Linked DNA regions of Saccharomyces cerevisiae S288C. Changing the gene in region 1 together with any one later gene gives a genetic interaction. Each region holds a gene or a part of one and is shown in the gene's direction. Other genes may lie near its edges. The genes, in order: PSK2, CYC1, BNA1 and SYF2.

Region 1 (5,578 bases):
ACTATCCAAAGCGAAGCACCTACTGCGTTTGTTCCAATGAACAACCCACCCAGAATGGGAATAGACTCTAATAAACCGCTGGATATCGAGTAAAGGAGCCACTTGGCAAAGCCCTTGTAGTAAACTTTGGAAAGTTTGCGCGAATCCAAATGTAGCACGTCAACAAAATAAGGCTCAAAATAGTAAAATCCCATTCCGGGGCTAAATGGTAGCATATTGATTGTAATTGGACCCACTATTGGAACGAGCAACAATAAAAGAAACATAAAGGCTATGAAGATGTACCAGAAGAAAAAAATGAAAAACTGCGGCAAAGAGACGAGGTAAAACCGTTTCGAAAAGAGGCCACCCAAACGATGTGACCTTCTGTAGACAAAGGGCGTGAAACTTATCGTTTCACAGGCTTCACTCAACTCTGTTAATCCCTTTCTTGCGAACGTCACTCCATAAATACGTGTGAAAAGAACGAAATCGGTACCCTTCACCATAGAATTACATAGCGTTGTGGAAATCAGAATAGTTTGCATATAAGCCAGAGGTAACGCAAAGAGTCCGAGAAAGGGCAAATAGATGCACACTAACAAGGACCACGCAAGGATTGACGTAAACGCAACAATAAGCAGGAGATTCAGCAGGTAGTATCCAAATATTAGGAAAAATAGATGCAAATAATCCGAGTTTCCCACGGATTCGCTAATTCCCTTCAAAGGCGGTTAGTATGACGGCTTAAAAAACATGATCTGCTTATTGGAACATCAACATACTTTATACGGATACCAGATGATCTGGTGCGACGACTCTAGGTCTTTCCAAAAATTGTCTTTAACAAGCATAGCATTCTTGTACCATCGAACTATCGGAGCCTTGTATGCCATCCAAATTTTTGATTTCTTATGGTTCCCTTGGTCTTGGATGGGGAGTAATTGTGGTTCCTCCCCTTCTGCCAGTGGCGTAGAGGCATATGGATGTCTATGGTAATACCAATCAGGTTGGGGTCTAGTCGACATGTTTGCTTGGTGTCTTAGCAGCTCTTATAGTTCTAATGCTATAACTAAGAAAGTAATAATAATAATAATAAAAAGCTTTATATAATGTTTTATTATGGAAGTTTCGTTTTTGTGGCGCGACGCGATCAGCCAAAATCAGCGGAAAAATTCGTCGGAACATTTTTTTCTTTTTTGGCCAAGCTATTGTTACAGGTGGGGCAGGGGCAAGAGACGATATGTCATCGCGAAGCTGTAAAGACACTTGTCGAAGTGATAAAGCGCAAGAGCTGTTTGTCTACGGAACCAGCAAGTACTATCTAATAGCGTGTTCCAGAGAATAACAGCATTTTTCAACTTCTTTCTCCTGGTGTGAGTAATCAGTACGTGAAAAGAGAACGAAGTTAAAAAAAAAAACAAGAAAAAGAAACAAGATCAAAAGAAACGATAAAGGCTGGCTTATAAAATAATAGCATCGCGAACGATCAATAAGGGGCCCTGTTTATTTTTAACAAAGTTTACATATTTCGTTTTCCTCTTTAAGCTGACATCACGTCTATACCCTGTTTTATTCCTTGTTAGAAACATAACGGAGCAGGTAGTAACAACAACAGTATAAACTATCATAAACTTTTTTCCTTCCTTATTGGTGACTTTTAACACTTAGAATTCTAAGTCTGGCAAGAACAGTAATCATACTTCTTTGCAGGGCGTTTTATTGTTACTCCTCTGCCCTGCTAGATTAAAGTAAAGAATCATAAACAAAGAACACAATGACATACCCGGTTAGTGCAGCCGCTCCTGCCGACATTTCATATTCTAAAAATACCCCGTTGGTAGGGCTCTCTAAACCTCCATGCTTGTACCAACACGCTTCCTCGTCCGTCGATTCGTTTTCGTCAACATTCAGTGATGATGATCGTTCGGACCTTGTTGCTGTACCTAATGAGTCGCCGCATGCATTTTCGTATAATCCCATATCACCAAACTCACTGGGAGTAAGGTTGACCATCTTAAGAAGGTCTTTGGAAATAATGGTAAACAGTCCTGACATCTTACATGAGTTGAAGAAAAAAGCACCCGTAATAGCATACCCCCCCTCACTTAGACACACAAGAAACTTAACAGAGACTGCCACGTTATCAGCATCGCGAGATCCGTTAAATGGGTCTCTAATTTCACCATTAGTATCCAATATGCCATCTCCTGCTAGTAGACCCGTGATACAGAGAGCAACGTCCTTAATGGTGTTGCCTGATAATGATACTGCCAGTAAACTGAATCCAGCCAAGTCCGAGTTAGAAAACTTGTTATTCTTGCTAAATTTAGCATTGGAAAACAATTCCTTCGAAAGAGCTTCCGATTTACACATGCTATCGTTATTGAATATCAAGAAAATAAACTTTGATTCAGACATTCAAAAATCAGAAACTTTGAAAAAGGTTTTATTAGATAGTTTAGCAGAACCATTTTTTGAAAACTACAAGAAGTTCCCTCACAAAGATTTAGGTTCGAAATCGCAATATAATGAATATGAGGAGAAACACGATGATATAGTCTCCTTAGCAGACATCAAACCACAACAGGACTATAGCCGAATTCTTCATCCTTTCACATCTGCAAAAAATTCTGGTCCAGAGGCCATTTTTACATGTTCTCAACAATACCCCTGGAACTTCAAAGCTGCCAATGATTTGGCGTGTCTAACGTTCGGTATATCAAAGAATGTTATCAAGGCACTTACTTTACTAGACCTTATTCATACGGATAGCAGAAATTTTGTTCTAGAGAAAATCATGAATGCAGAAGATGATAACCAAGAAATTGTGTTTACCGGAGAAACTATACCTATCGTCCAGCCAAATTCGACAAGCAATAATAATGTACCAAATCTGATTTGGGCTTCACTATGGGCCAAGCGGAAGAATGGCCTACTGGTCTGCGTATTTGAAAAAACGCCTTGCGATTACATTGACGTCATGTTAAACTTGAGAGATTTTTCAGTGGACAGCATTATTGATACAACACACTTTCTGGAAAACTTTGACAAGAAAAAGCAGCAAGAATCAACTTCGCCAATGACAGAAAAGAAAACGGTAAAATTTGCAAATGAAATTCACGATATTGGGTCAGTAAGTCACTCACTGAGTAAACTAATTGATGATGTACGTTTTGGAAAAGTGTTTTCTGCAGATGATGATTTATTACCCTTGTCTATCAGGGTGGCAAATCATGTCAACGAAGAGAGATATTTTACGTTGAATTGTCTATCTGAAAATATACCATGTGCTGTTACAACTTCCGTATTGGAAAACGAAATAAAATTAAAAATTCATAGTTTGCCCTATCAGGCTGGGCTATTTATTGTTGACAGTCACACTTTAAGTCTTTTAAGTTTCAACAAATCAGTCGCCAAAAACATGTTTGGCTTGCGACTTCACGAGTTGGCCGGTAGTTCGGTTACTAAGTTGGTTCCTTCTTTGGCGGACATGATATCTTATATCAATAAAACTTATCCTATGTTAAATATCACATTACCAGAAAATAAAGGATTGGTTTTAACAGAACATTTTTTCAGAAAAATTGAGGCTGAAATGCATCATGATAAGGACTCGTTTTACACTTCTATTGGTCTAGACGGCTGTCACAAAGATGGTAATTTGATAAAGGTGGATGTTCAATTACGGGTCTTGAATACGAATGCTGTATTATTATGGATTACACACTCAAGAGACGTGGTCATTGAAAATTATACCACCGTTCCTTCGCAGCTACCGATGTTAAAGGAGAACGAAATTGATGTCGTTGGCAGTAGAGGTAGTTCCAGTGCATCTTCCAAGAAATCTTCGGAAAAAATTCCTGTGAATACTTTGAAGGCAATGGCTGATCTGTCGATTAGCTCCGCTGAAACGATTTCTAATTCAGACGATGAAGTAGACTTAAATCAAGTGAATGAAAAACTACGAGAAACTTCTTGCGGTAAAGTGAGAGGTATCGAATCTAATGACAACAATAACTATGACGATGACATGACAATGGTTGATGATCCTGAGTTAAAACATAAAATTGAATTAACGAAAATGTACACGCAGGACAAATCAAAATTTGTAAAGGACGACAACTTTAAAGTGGATGAAAAATTTATAATGAGGATAATTGAACCGATAAACGGAGAAGAAATCAAAAAGGAAACAAATGAGCTAGACAAAAGAAATTCTACTTTAAAAGCTACGTACTTGACTACTCCAGAGGCTAATATAGGCTCACAAAAGCGCATAAAGAAATTTTCTGATTTTACTATTCTGCAAGTGATGGGTGAGGGTGCGTACGGTAAAGTCAATTTATGCATTCATAACAGAGAACACTATATCGTGGTCATCAAAATGATTTTCAAAGAGAGGATTTTAGTAGACACATGGGTGAGAGATAGAAAATTAGGTACTATACCTTCTGAGATCCAAATTATGGCGACCTTGAATAAAAATTCCCAAGAAAATATCTTGAAGTTATTAGATTTTTTTGAAGATGACGATTATTATTACATTGAAACACCGGTCCATGGAGAAACTGGTAGTATTGATCTATTTGATGTTATCGAATTCAAAAAAGATATGGTTGAACATGAAGCTAAACTGGTGTTTAAACAGGTAGTCGCTAGTATAAAGCATTTACATGACCAAGGAATTGTTCATAGAGACATAAAGGACGAAAATGTTATTGTTGATTCTCATGGCTTTGTAAAATTAATCGATTTCGGTTCGGCTGCCTATATCAAGAGTGGACCATTCGATGTTTTTGTGGGAACAATGGACTATGCTGCACCTGAAGTCCTTGGTGGTTCCTCTTACAAAGGTAAACCACAAGATATTTGGGCTCTTGGTGTGCTACTTTATACCATAATTTATAAAGAGAATCCTTATTACAACATTGATGAAATCTTGGAAGGTGAATTAAGGTTCGATAAATCGGAACATGTCAGTGAAGAATGCATCAGTTTGATAAAAAGAATTTTGACAAGAGAAGTTGATAAAAGACCTACTATTGATGAAATATATGAAGATAAATGGCTTAAAATCTAGTTTTCCGTACTCTCCAAGATAAAGGGAAAGAATAATTTAATCCATTTTCATAACCATTTACCTTCATAAATGTTCTATTCTTTTTTTGGCTATATATTAATTACATTTTTAATATCATATCATTGCTCTATATCCTTCTTGTCCAGCCTCTATGCAGTATTTTCTTTCATTCTATTTTGGGGCAAACTTCTGCGCTGAGCGGCTTATCGCCGTCGGAGTGACATCAAGTACCATAGAAAAGTCATCGTAGACTTACATATTTAGGCAAGAGAAATAGTTAGGTAAACAGAAAGAGGCACTAGCAGAACGTACTACGGTGTGGTTTATACAAGAGGGTTCTGTGAATAATGGCTGCAAGTGAGATAATGAACAATCTGCCTATGCATTCCCTCGATTCTTCTCTAAGGGATTTACTTAACGATGACTTATTCATTGAAAGTGATGAATCGACCAAGTCGGTAAATGATCAGAGGAGTGAAGTATTTCAAGAATGTGTGAACCTTTTCATAAAAAGAG
Region 2 (2,594 bases), on another chromosome or scaffold:
AGCTAAATTAAAAAGAAGAAGGAACCGAAAGAAGGCAAATTATAAAGTAATCATCCTCGGCATATTGAGGGGAAAATATCCGTCAAAAAAAAAAGTTCTGCACGTCGTCATAAGTGACTATGGTATCAAACACCAATTAACACGAACGTAGCGATAATGAAGGCAACTTCGTAGCTGAAACAGAACGAAGTTAGTTAGGATGAATAATTATGATTATGATTATTATAATATTATATAAAATGTATAAATAAGATTTCTAGATCAAAAAAACATCGCGTATTTTGTAAGCTATAGAAATCTAAAATATCTAATCAGATCTTGGAGCTTCCTTGAAGGAGATGGCAGCTTCTTCACCCATGGCAGAAATGATAGTGACCATCAAATCCTTACCTTCATCGAAAGCAGCTTGCATGCTGTCACCCAATTCACCTTCTGGTGCCTTGACATCGTCTTTGGTTTCACCGTCCATGGTCATCAAGGACAAGTAGCCATCATCAATATCCAACAATTGGTATTCGCTTCTCTTGACAAATGGAACTTCCAAGTTGTGAGTGGATGGAGACAAATCTTCCAACTTCTTACCAGTGAAGATATCAAGGGTAACCAAATGGACCTTGGCGTGACCGTGCTTACCGGTCTTGGAAGTGGACATGTCGACAATCTTACATGGTCTACCTTTGATGACAACGAAACCATTCTTTCTCAAGGCAGAACATTGCATTGGGTAGGTGGCGGAGGCACCAGCGTCAGCATTTTCAAAGGTGTGTTCTTCGTCAGACATGTTTTAGTGTGTGAATGAAATAGGTGTATGTTTTCTTTTTGCTAGACAATAATTAGGAACAAGGTAAGGGAACTAAAGTGTAGAATAAGATTAAAAAAGAAGAACAAGTTGAAAAGGCAAGTTGAAATTTCAAGAAAAAAGTCAATTGAAGTACAGTAAATTGACCTGAATATATCTGAGTTCCGACAACAATGAGTTTACCAAAGAGAACAATGGAATAGGAAACTTTGAACGAAGAAAGGAAAGCAGGAAAGGAAAAAATTTTTAGGCTCGAGAACAATAGGGCGAAAAAACAGGCAACGAACGAACAATGGAAAAACGAAAAAAAAAAAAAAAAACACAGAAAAGAATGCAGAAAGATGTCAACTGAAAAAAAAAAAGGTGAACACAGGAAAAAAAATAAAAAAAAAAAAAAAAAAAGGAGGACGAAACAAAAAAGTGAAAAAAAATGAAAATTTTTTTGGAAAACCAAGAAATGAATTATATTTCCGTGTGAGACGACATCGTCGAATATGATTCAGGGTAACAGTATTGATGTAATCAATTTCCTACCTGAATCTAAAATTCCCGGGAGCAAGATCAAGATGTTTTCACCGATCTTTCCGGTCTCTTTGGCCGGGGTTTACGGACGATGGCAGAAGACCAAAGCGCCAGTTCATTTGGCGAGCGTTGGTTGGTGGATCAAGCCCACGCGTAGGCAATCCTCGAGCAGATCCGCCAGGCGTGTATATATAGCGTGGATGGCCAGGCAACTTTAGTGCTGACACATACAGGCATATATATATGTGTGCGACGACACATGATCATATGGCATGCATGTGCTCTGTATGTATATAAAACTCTTGTTTTCTTCTTTTCTCTAAATATTCTTTCCTTATACATTAGGACCTTTGCAGCATAAATTACTATACTTCTATAGACACACAAACACAAATACACACACTAAATTAATAATGACTGAATTCAAGGCCGGTTCTGCTAAGAAAGGTGCTACACTTTTCAAGACTAGATGTCTACAATGCCACACCGTGGAAAAGGGTGGCCCACATAAGGTTGGTCCAAACTTGCATGGTATCTTTGGCAGACACTCTGGTCAAGCTGAAGGGTATTCGTACACAGATGCCAATATCAAGAAAAACGTGTTGTGGGACGAAAATAACATGTCAGAGTACTTGACTAACCCAAAGAAATATATTCCTGGTACCAAGATGGCCTTTGGTGGGTTGAAGAAGGAAAAAGACAGAAACGACTTAATTACCTACTTGAAAAAAGCCTGTGAGTAAACAGGCCCCTTTTCCTTTGTCGATATCATGTAATTAGTTATGTCACGCTTACATTCACGCCCTCCTCCCACATCCGCTCTAACCGAAAAGGAAGGAGTTAGACAACCTGAAGTCTAGGTCCCTATTTATTTTTTTTAATAGTTATGTTAGTATTAAGAACGTTATTTATATTTCAAATTTTTCTTTTTTTTCTGTACAAACGCGTGTACGCATGTAACATTATACTGAAAACCTTGCTTGAGAAGGTTTTGGGACGCTCGAAGGCTTTAATTTGCAAGCTTCGCAGTTTACACTCTCATCGTCGCTCTCATCATCGCTTCCGTTGTTGTTTTCCTTAGTAGCGTCTGCTTCCAGAGAGTATTTATCTCTTATTACCTCTAAAGGTTCTGCTTGATTTCTGACTTTGTTCGCCTCATGTGCATATTTTTCTTGGTTCTTTTGGGACAAAATATGCGTAAAGGACTTTTGTTGTTCCCTCACATTCCAGTTTAGTTGTCGACTGATACTGTTAATAAACTCATCGGGCGAGG
Region 3 (2,660 bases), on another chromosome or scaffold:
TTGGTGGTGGTCTGACATATTTTTTAGTGGATGTCATATCAGAGTCCGCTGAGGATGAATCAGTAAATGTATTACCTGACTCAGGTGATGGAGTGCTCAGAGGCGTTCCAACTGATGATGGATACTGCGGAAACTGTGATTGTGGCCCAGGTGGAAAGTACATAGGCGACATTTGATAAGGTGTATACGGAATCATAGATGGGTGTCCGTAAAATGACCAACCAGATGGATTGGCTTGGTTTTGGGTCATCATGCACTGCTGTGGGTACGGCCCATTCTGTGGAGGTGGTACTGAAGCAGGTTGAGGAGAGGCATGATGGGGGTTCTCTGGAACAGCTGATGAAGCAGGTGTTGTTGTCTGTTGAGAGTTAGCCTTAGTGGAAGCCTTCTCACATTCTTCTGTTTTGGAAGCTGAAACGTCTAACGGATCTTGATTTGTGTGGACTTCCTTAGAAGTAACCGAAGCACAGGCGCTACCATGAGAAATATGTGAATGTTGAGATAATTGTTGGGATTCCATTGTTGATAAAGGCTATAATATTAGGTATACAGAATATACTAGAAGTTCTCCTCGAGGATATAGGAATCCTCAAAATGGAATCTATATTTCTACATACTAATATTACGATTATTCCTCATTCCGTTTTATATGTTTATATTCATTGATCCTATTACATTATCAATCCTTGCGTTTCAGCTTCCTCTAACTTCGATGACAGCTTCTCATAACTTATGTCATCATCTTAACACCGTATATGATAATATATTGATAATATAACTATTAGTTGATAGACGATAGTGGATTTTTATTCCAACAGCAACATGTTAAAACGAAAGCTGATGTTTGGAAGCCGTCTCGAGTAGGCTATACCGACATATTTTCCCAGGAATATAAAGGAATTGTTGTTGCGATAAAGTTTGTGATCTGTTCTGATGCTGAAGGAACCTTGTACCCGAGAGAGTATAACTCCCGTCTCCATGATGTAAAAAGACTTGGGAGAACAGGACTGTCATTCACAGATAAAAAGGAGGCGTATTTACTCGAATTTAAAAACCAGGACGTTGTAGATCATGTTCATAAGTTAATCTTGCCTTTTAACACATCTTGGCAATCTAACTAGATTCGTCCAATTGTATTTTTACTTCAATAATCTTACATAATAATAAAAATTTTTCTATTTGTCCAAAAAAAAAAAAAATAAATAAAATAAAAAAAGCTACCGTAATTCATGCGTACAGTAACTGGCTTCCTTACTATACCAAGTTTATTCTTTGATTGCGCTGCCAAAATAGCCTGTCAAAATTTGCGCGGATGTATTTTCGACGTCAACGGTGCCATTATTTTTCTGTCACTGACACCTGTACTCCTGAACGGGTATCGGCATTTAGAACGCTGCCTCCAAATGTCTGGTGAACGTTCGTGAATATTCAGAGTGTCGTTATTGCAATGGAATGGCTGCCTTTGTGACGGCGTCAGGATAAATTGTGAGTCACTGAAACATATTCGGCAAAGTAAAAAAACGGACGTAAAAGATTCTTTCTTTATTCTTTTCACGACAGTCTACAAGTAACTGAAATAGCATACATTTACCAAAAAAATCGAAAAAAATGTTTAATACTACACCAATTAATATCGACAAATGGTTGAAGGAGAACGAAGGCCTTTTGAAACCACCGGTGAATAATTATTGCTTACATAAAGGGGGATTCACTGTGATGATTGTCGGTGGGCCTAATGAAAGAACCGGTTATCACATCAATCCAACTCCCGAATGGTTCTATCAAAAAAAAGGATCTATGCTTTTAAAGGTTGTGGATGAGACAGACGCTGAACCAAAGTTCATTGATATCATCATCAATGAAGGCGATTCATATTTATTGCCAGGAAATGTTCCTCACAGTCCTGTTCGGTTTGCTGATACTGTGGGTATTGTTGTGGAACAAGATAGGCCTGGGGGAGAAAACGATAAGATAAGGTGGTACTGTTCTCATTGTCGCCAAGTGGTCCACGAGAGTGAACTGCAAATGTTAGACTTAGGTACCCAAGTGAAAGAAGCCATTTTAGATTTTGAAAATGATGTCGAAAAGAGGACATGTTTCCATTGCAAGACGTTAAACTACGCACGCCCTCAATCTAATTAAGTATTAGAAGAGTTGTTAGTTGTACTTTTATAGCTCTCTTGTTACGTAAGATTGCGGCACTAAGATGCGGTGCCAATTTTTTTTTTTTTTCTCTTGATCAAAGCAGCTAGCTGTTCATCAAGATATGTAACGTTTTTAAGCACTGAACTAACAAGGGGAGCCAGTGAACGACTATGTCTTCACAAGATGTTCTGATACATTCAGATGATCCGTGCCATCCAGCAAATCTCATTTGCACGCTATGCAAGCAGTTTTTTCATAATAATTGGTGCACCGGAACTGGAGGTGGGATTTCAATAAAAGATCCTAACACGAATTATTATTATCTCGCCCCATCTGGGGTGCAGAAGGAGAAGATGATACCTGAGGATTTGTTTGTCATGGACGCTCAGACATTAGAGTATTTGCGCTCTCCCAAGCTTTACAAGCCAAGCGCATGTACTCCATTGTTCTTAGCGTGCTACCAAAAGAAAAATGCAGGTGCTATAATACATACACACTCCCAAAATGCTGTGATA
Region 4 (3,114 bases), on another chromosome or scaffold:
GGTCTCTTAGTAAGGATAGCAAGTTGCGTGTACGACTCAATGGAAACAATGGGTGTGTCAATAAAAACGTTAAAGTTTTTGGATAATCATTTCCGCTAAACTTTCCGAAAATTAGATCTAAAACTTTATTCAAAAAGCCAGGATCAGAAATATATCTATCTTTTTCAGTATAATGTTCTTCTTTGATTTTTAGTTCTTTGAAAAATATGTCATCAAATGATGTAATGTCATTATCTTGAAGGGCTGAAAGCTTTTCAATAACTTCATTACAGTGGAGGACTGGAACGCTTGAATCCCCGCTGACGTCGTTACATTTCACTCTCTTGTCATTTATGTCTTTATCATCAAATAGCGGCTTTAAAATAACTGAGCTATCATTATTTCCAACTTGAAAACTCTTGCCTAATGAGTCCTTCAACGTATTAGTTCCAACATCAATATTAATTATTTCTAAGGAAGACGTTGGGTTTGGTCCATTTTTCGTTGAAATACCAATTGCTATTGTTTTTGAATTATGCGACTTTTCTGAATTGATCACTGCAGATTTTAATAGTTGGAATGTTTTCACGTGAGTTAATTCTCTTTGGCTTAAAGTAGAACAATGCAGTAAGTCTAGTAGATAAATGACGTTGTTTACGGTCAGTAGAACTCTGTTTACTGAAACAGGTTGGAAAGAGATTAAGTCATCTCCAGGACTGAGTTTATCCACCATCGGAAATTCAATAACTTGTTGCAATTGGCAATGTGGTAAAGAGTAAATGTATATTTTCCCCTGGTTCAATTTGTAAAGTTTTCCAAATTGATAACAAAGCTTTGAATTTTCAAAAGAAAATCCTTCGATGATAGTAGATGATAATTCTTTTATGGGCGAACTTTCTCCACTGCCACAATCTGTTAGCTCGAGCAATTTATAGCAGACTTTATCATCCTGTAATGGACAGAGAACAAAAACATATTCAGTTCCATTTTCAGTGAACCATTTAGCATATTTTAAGTTATCATAAGATATATCAAATGAATGCAAAAGTGTTAACTTAAAATCAAAAATTTCAATCAACCCGTTCTGTAAAATTGCAATTACTAAGCTGTTCTTGGTGTCAATTTTAATACTCATGACTTTGGCTTTCGCCTTGATCTTATACTGAGATAAAAATTCGTCTGAACCCGTGTATGCTTTATTGTCAATATCACTCTCACTCAGATGGTCATTTGAGGTATCAGTGGTATCTTCCAGTGCCTTAGTGATAACATTTAGCGTATAATTACCCTTATTTACCATTAAACCAAAGGCCCAAATTTCAACATTTCTTTTTTTTTGGGTGTTGATAGTCTTCTCGTTGTTGGCTTCATCATCGGTACTGGCTTCTATATTTCCGTCAATGTTCGCTTGACCTTTCTCAGCATTGCATGCCGTGATAATATTTGTAGAGGGTATTGGGTAATCGAATGTTAACTTTGGTGTAGGATTAATAATATATTGAGATATAGATGACCCGGAAATACCTAACGTTATGTTATTTGTAGATTCATTAAAGGTGCCATCTGCGACTTGAACGTAATCTGCTTGTAAAGAAAAATTGCTCAATGAAGCAATTTTTGGGAGAGTTGCTAGTCTAAATGGTTGAGACAGGGATGGCATTTTGAATCTTTACTATCCTCCGGAATGATTTGCTGTTCAAGGAGCGCTAGGTGTGACATATAATATTACAAATTTAACAGTGACCTCATCTCATCAAAGTTTTCAAATTTTTCAGGCATCTGCTACAGCATAATGAAAAAATTTGAAAAATACAGACATTTCCGTGTAGAATGACAAAAAAGCTAGAATATTACTATATTTTCCTTAAAAGAGCAATATTTGCGATGAGGGGCTCTCAATGACAATGTTTGACTTCTCTATTGAACTGTAAGCGAAGCAAAACCATATCTTGTCAAAGTATTCGAAGAATGGATTTTTACAAATTAGACGAGAAGCTGAAGGAGTTGAAAAGGAAAAGAGTAGATGTATCTATAAAGAGTAGGAAGTTGGCTGACAGAGAGATTCAGGAAGTAAGCGCAAATCGAAAACCAAGAGTATACAGTATGGAAGACGTAAATGATGCAGATGAATCAGTAGGAGATACAGAAAGTCCTGAAAAAGAGAAAGCATTTCATTACACTGTCCAAGAATATGATGCGTGGGAACGTAGGCATCCTCAAGGGAAGACTGGGCAAAGCCAAAGAGGTGGAATTTCCTATGATCAACTTGCAAAATTGAGTTATGAGAAGACCTTGCGGAATCTCGCTACGCAAACACAGAATTCGAGCAAACAGGATAGTTCCGCCGATGAAGAAGACAATAAAAACGTACCCAAGAAGGGTAGAATCGGCAAGGTACAGAAGGACACTAAGACGGGTAAGATAACAATTGCAGATGACGACAAGCTAGTTAATAAGTTGGCCGTTTCTTTGCAATCTGAGTCGAAAAAAAGATACGAAGCAAGAAAAAGACAAATGCAAAATGCAAAAACACTGTATGGGGTTGAAAGCTTCATTAATGACAAAAATAAACAATTCAATGAAAAATTGAGCAGGGAATCAAAAGGATCAGAATAAGCTTCTCTTTTATTTAGAATATACCGATATAACCAAAGGAAAGTTTTAATACCCTGGATTTTTCATCGACCGTCACGTGACGAGCTGAGGTTAAATGCCCGCAAAAGTGCTTCAGAAGAGAGTCCATCTTACTCGGTTATTTGAGCACGAAACACTAGAGAATAACTAACTGGTTGATAAATTGTTGATTGAGTAAATATTGGTACATAAAACGGTTACAAAGAGAGGTAGATTAGGAAGGGTGAAAATAATCAAAGGATAACTTGATGATACTCGACAAAGAATAGAAGAGAAAAATAAAATAGAGGTGGGATATTCCTTGAACAAAAGTGGAATATTATTTTTTTTAGGCATACATGACGTCTTCCTCAGTATGATATTCATACAAGGAATCGTCCTTTGGAAGGACGCTCGTATTCTTTTGTGAACGGTCATTTGGTATTTTGTGGTTTTCAGCCGCGTGTATACCTTCAGCTTGTTTGTGCTGCCTACTCAATATTTCTTGCTTCAAGGCCTCAT

Evidence for each region.
Region 2: mutations in PSK2 (region 1) and CYC1 together harm fitness more than expected from each alone (negative genetic interaction), as found in Saccharomyces cerevisiae (3 studies listed by BioGRID).
Region 3: mutations in PSK2 (region 1) and BNA1 together harm fitness more than expected from each alone (negative genetic interaction), as found in Saccharomyces cerevisiae (3 studies listed by BioGRID).
Region 4: mutations in PSK2 (region 1) and SYF2 together harm fitness more than expected from each alone (negative genetic interaction), as found in Saccharomyces cerevisiae (3 studies listed by BioGRID).

The regions. Positions count from the first base shown.
Region 1 is NC_001147.6:241,741-247,318, forward strand, and holds PSK2 (serine/threonine protein kinase PSK2), read left to right. Parts: upstream 1-1,756; coding exon 1,757-5,062; downstream 5,063-5,578. Other genes in the region: LDS2 (Lds2p), read right to left, coding at 1-701, 765-1,007; PEX15 (Pex15p), read left to right, coding at 5,410-5,578. UniProt on the Saccharomyces cerevisiae protein: Serine/threonine-protein kinase involved in the control of sugar metabolism and translation. Phosphorylates UGP1, which is required for normal glycogen and beta-(1,6)-glucan synthesis.
Region 2 is NC_001142.9:524,601-527,194, forward strand, and holds CYC1 (cytochrome c), read left to right. Parts: upstream 1-1,734; coding exon 1,735-2,064; downstream 2,065-2,594. Other genes in the region: ANB1 (translation elongation factor eIF-5A), read right to left, coding at 308-781; UTR1 (NADH/NAD(+) kinase), read right to left, coding at 2,284-2,594.
Region 3 is NC_001142.9:470,620-473,279, reverse strand, and holds BNA1 (3-hydroxyanthranilate 3,4-dioxygenase), read left to right. Parts: upstream 1-1,608; coding exon 1,609-2,142; downstream 2,143-2,660. Other genes in the region: YJR026W (gag protein), read right to left, coding at 1-520; methylthioribulose 1-phosphate dehydratase MDE1, read left to right, coding at 2,316-2,660.
Region 4 is NC_001139.9:748,453-751,566, forward strand, and holds SYF2 (Syf2p), read left to right. Parts: upstream 1-1,947; coding exon 1,948-2,595; downstream 2,596-3,114. Other genes in the region: UTP8 (Utp8p), read right to left, coding at 1-1,639; YGR130C (uncharacterized protein), read right to left, coding at 2,942-3,114.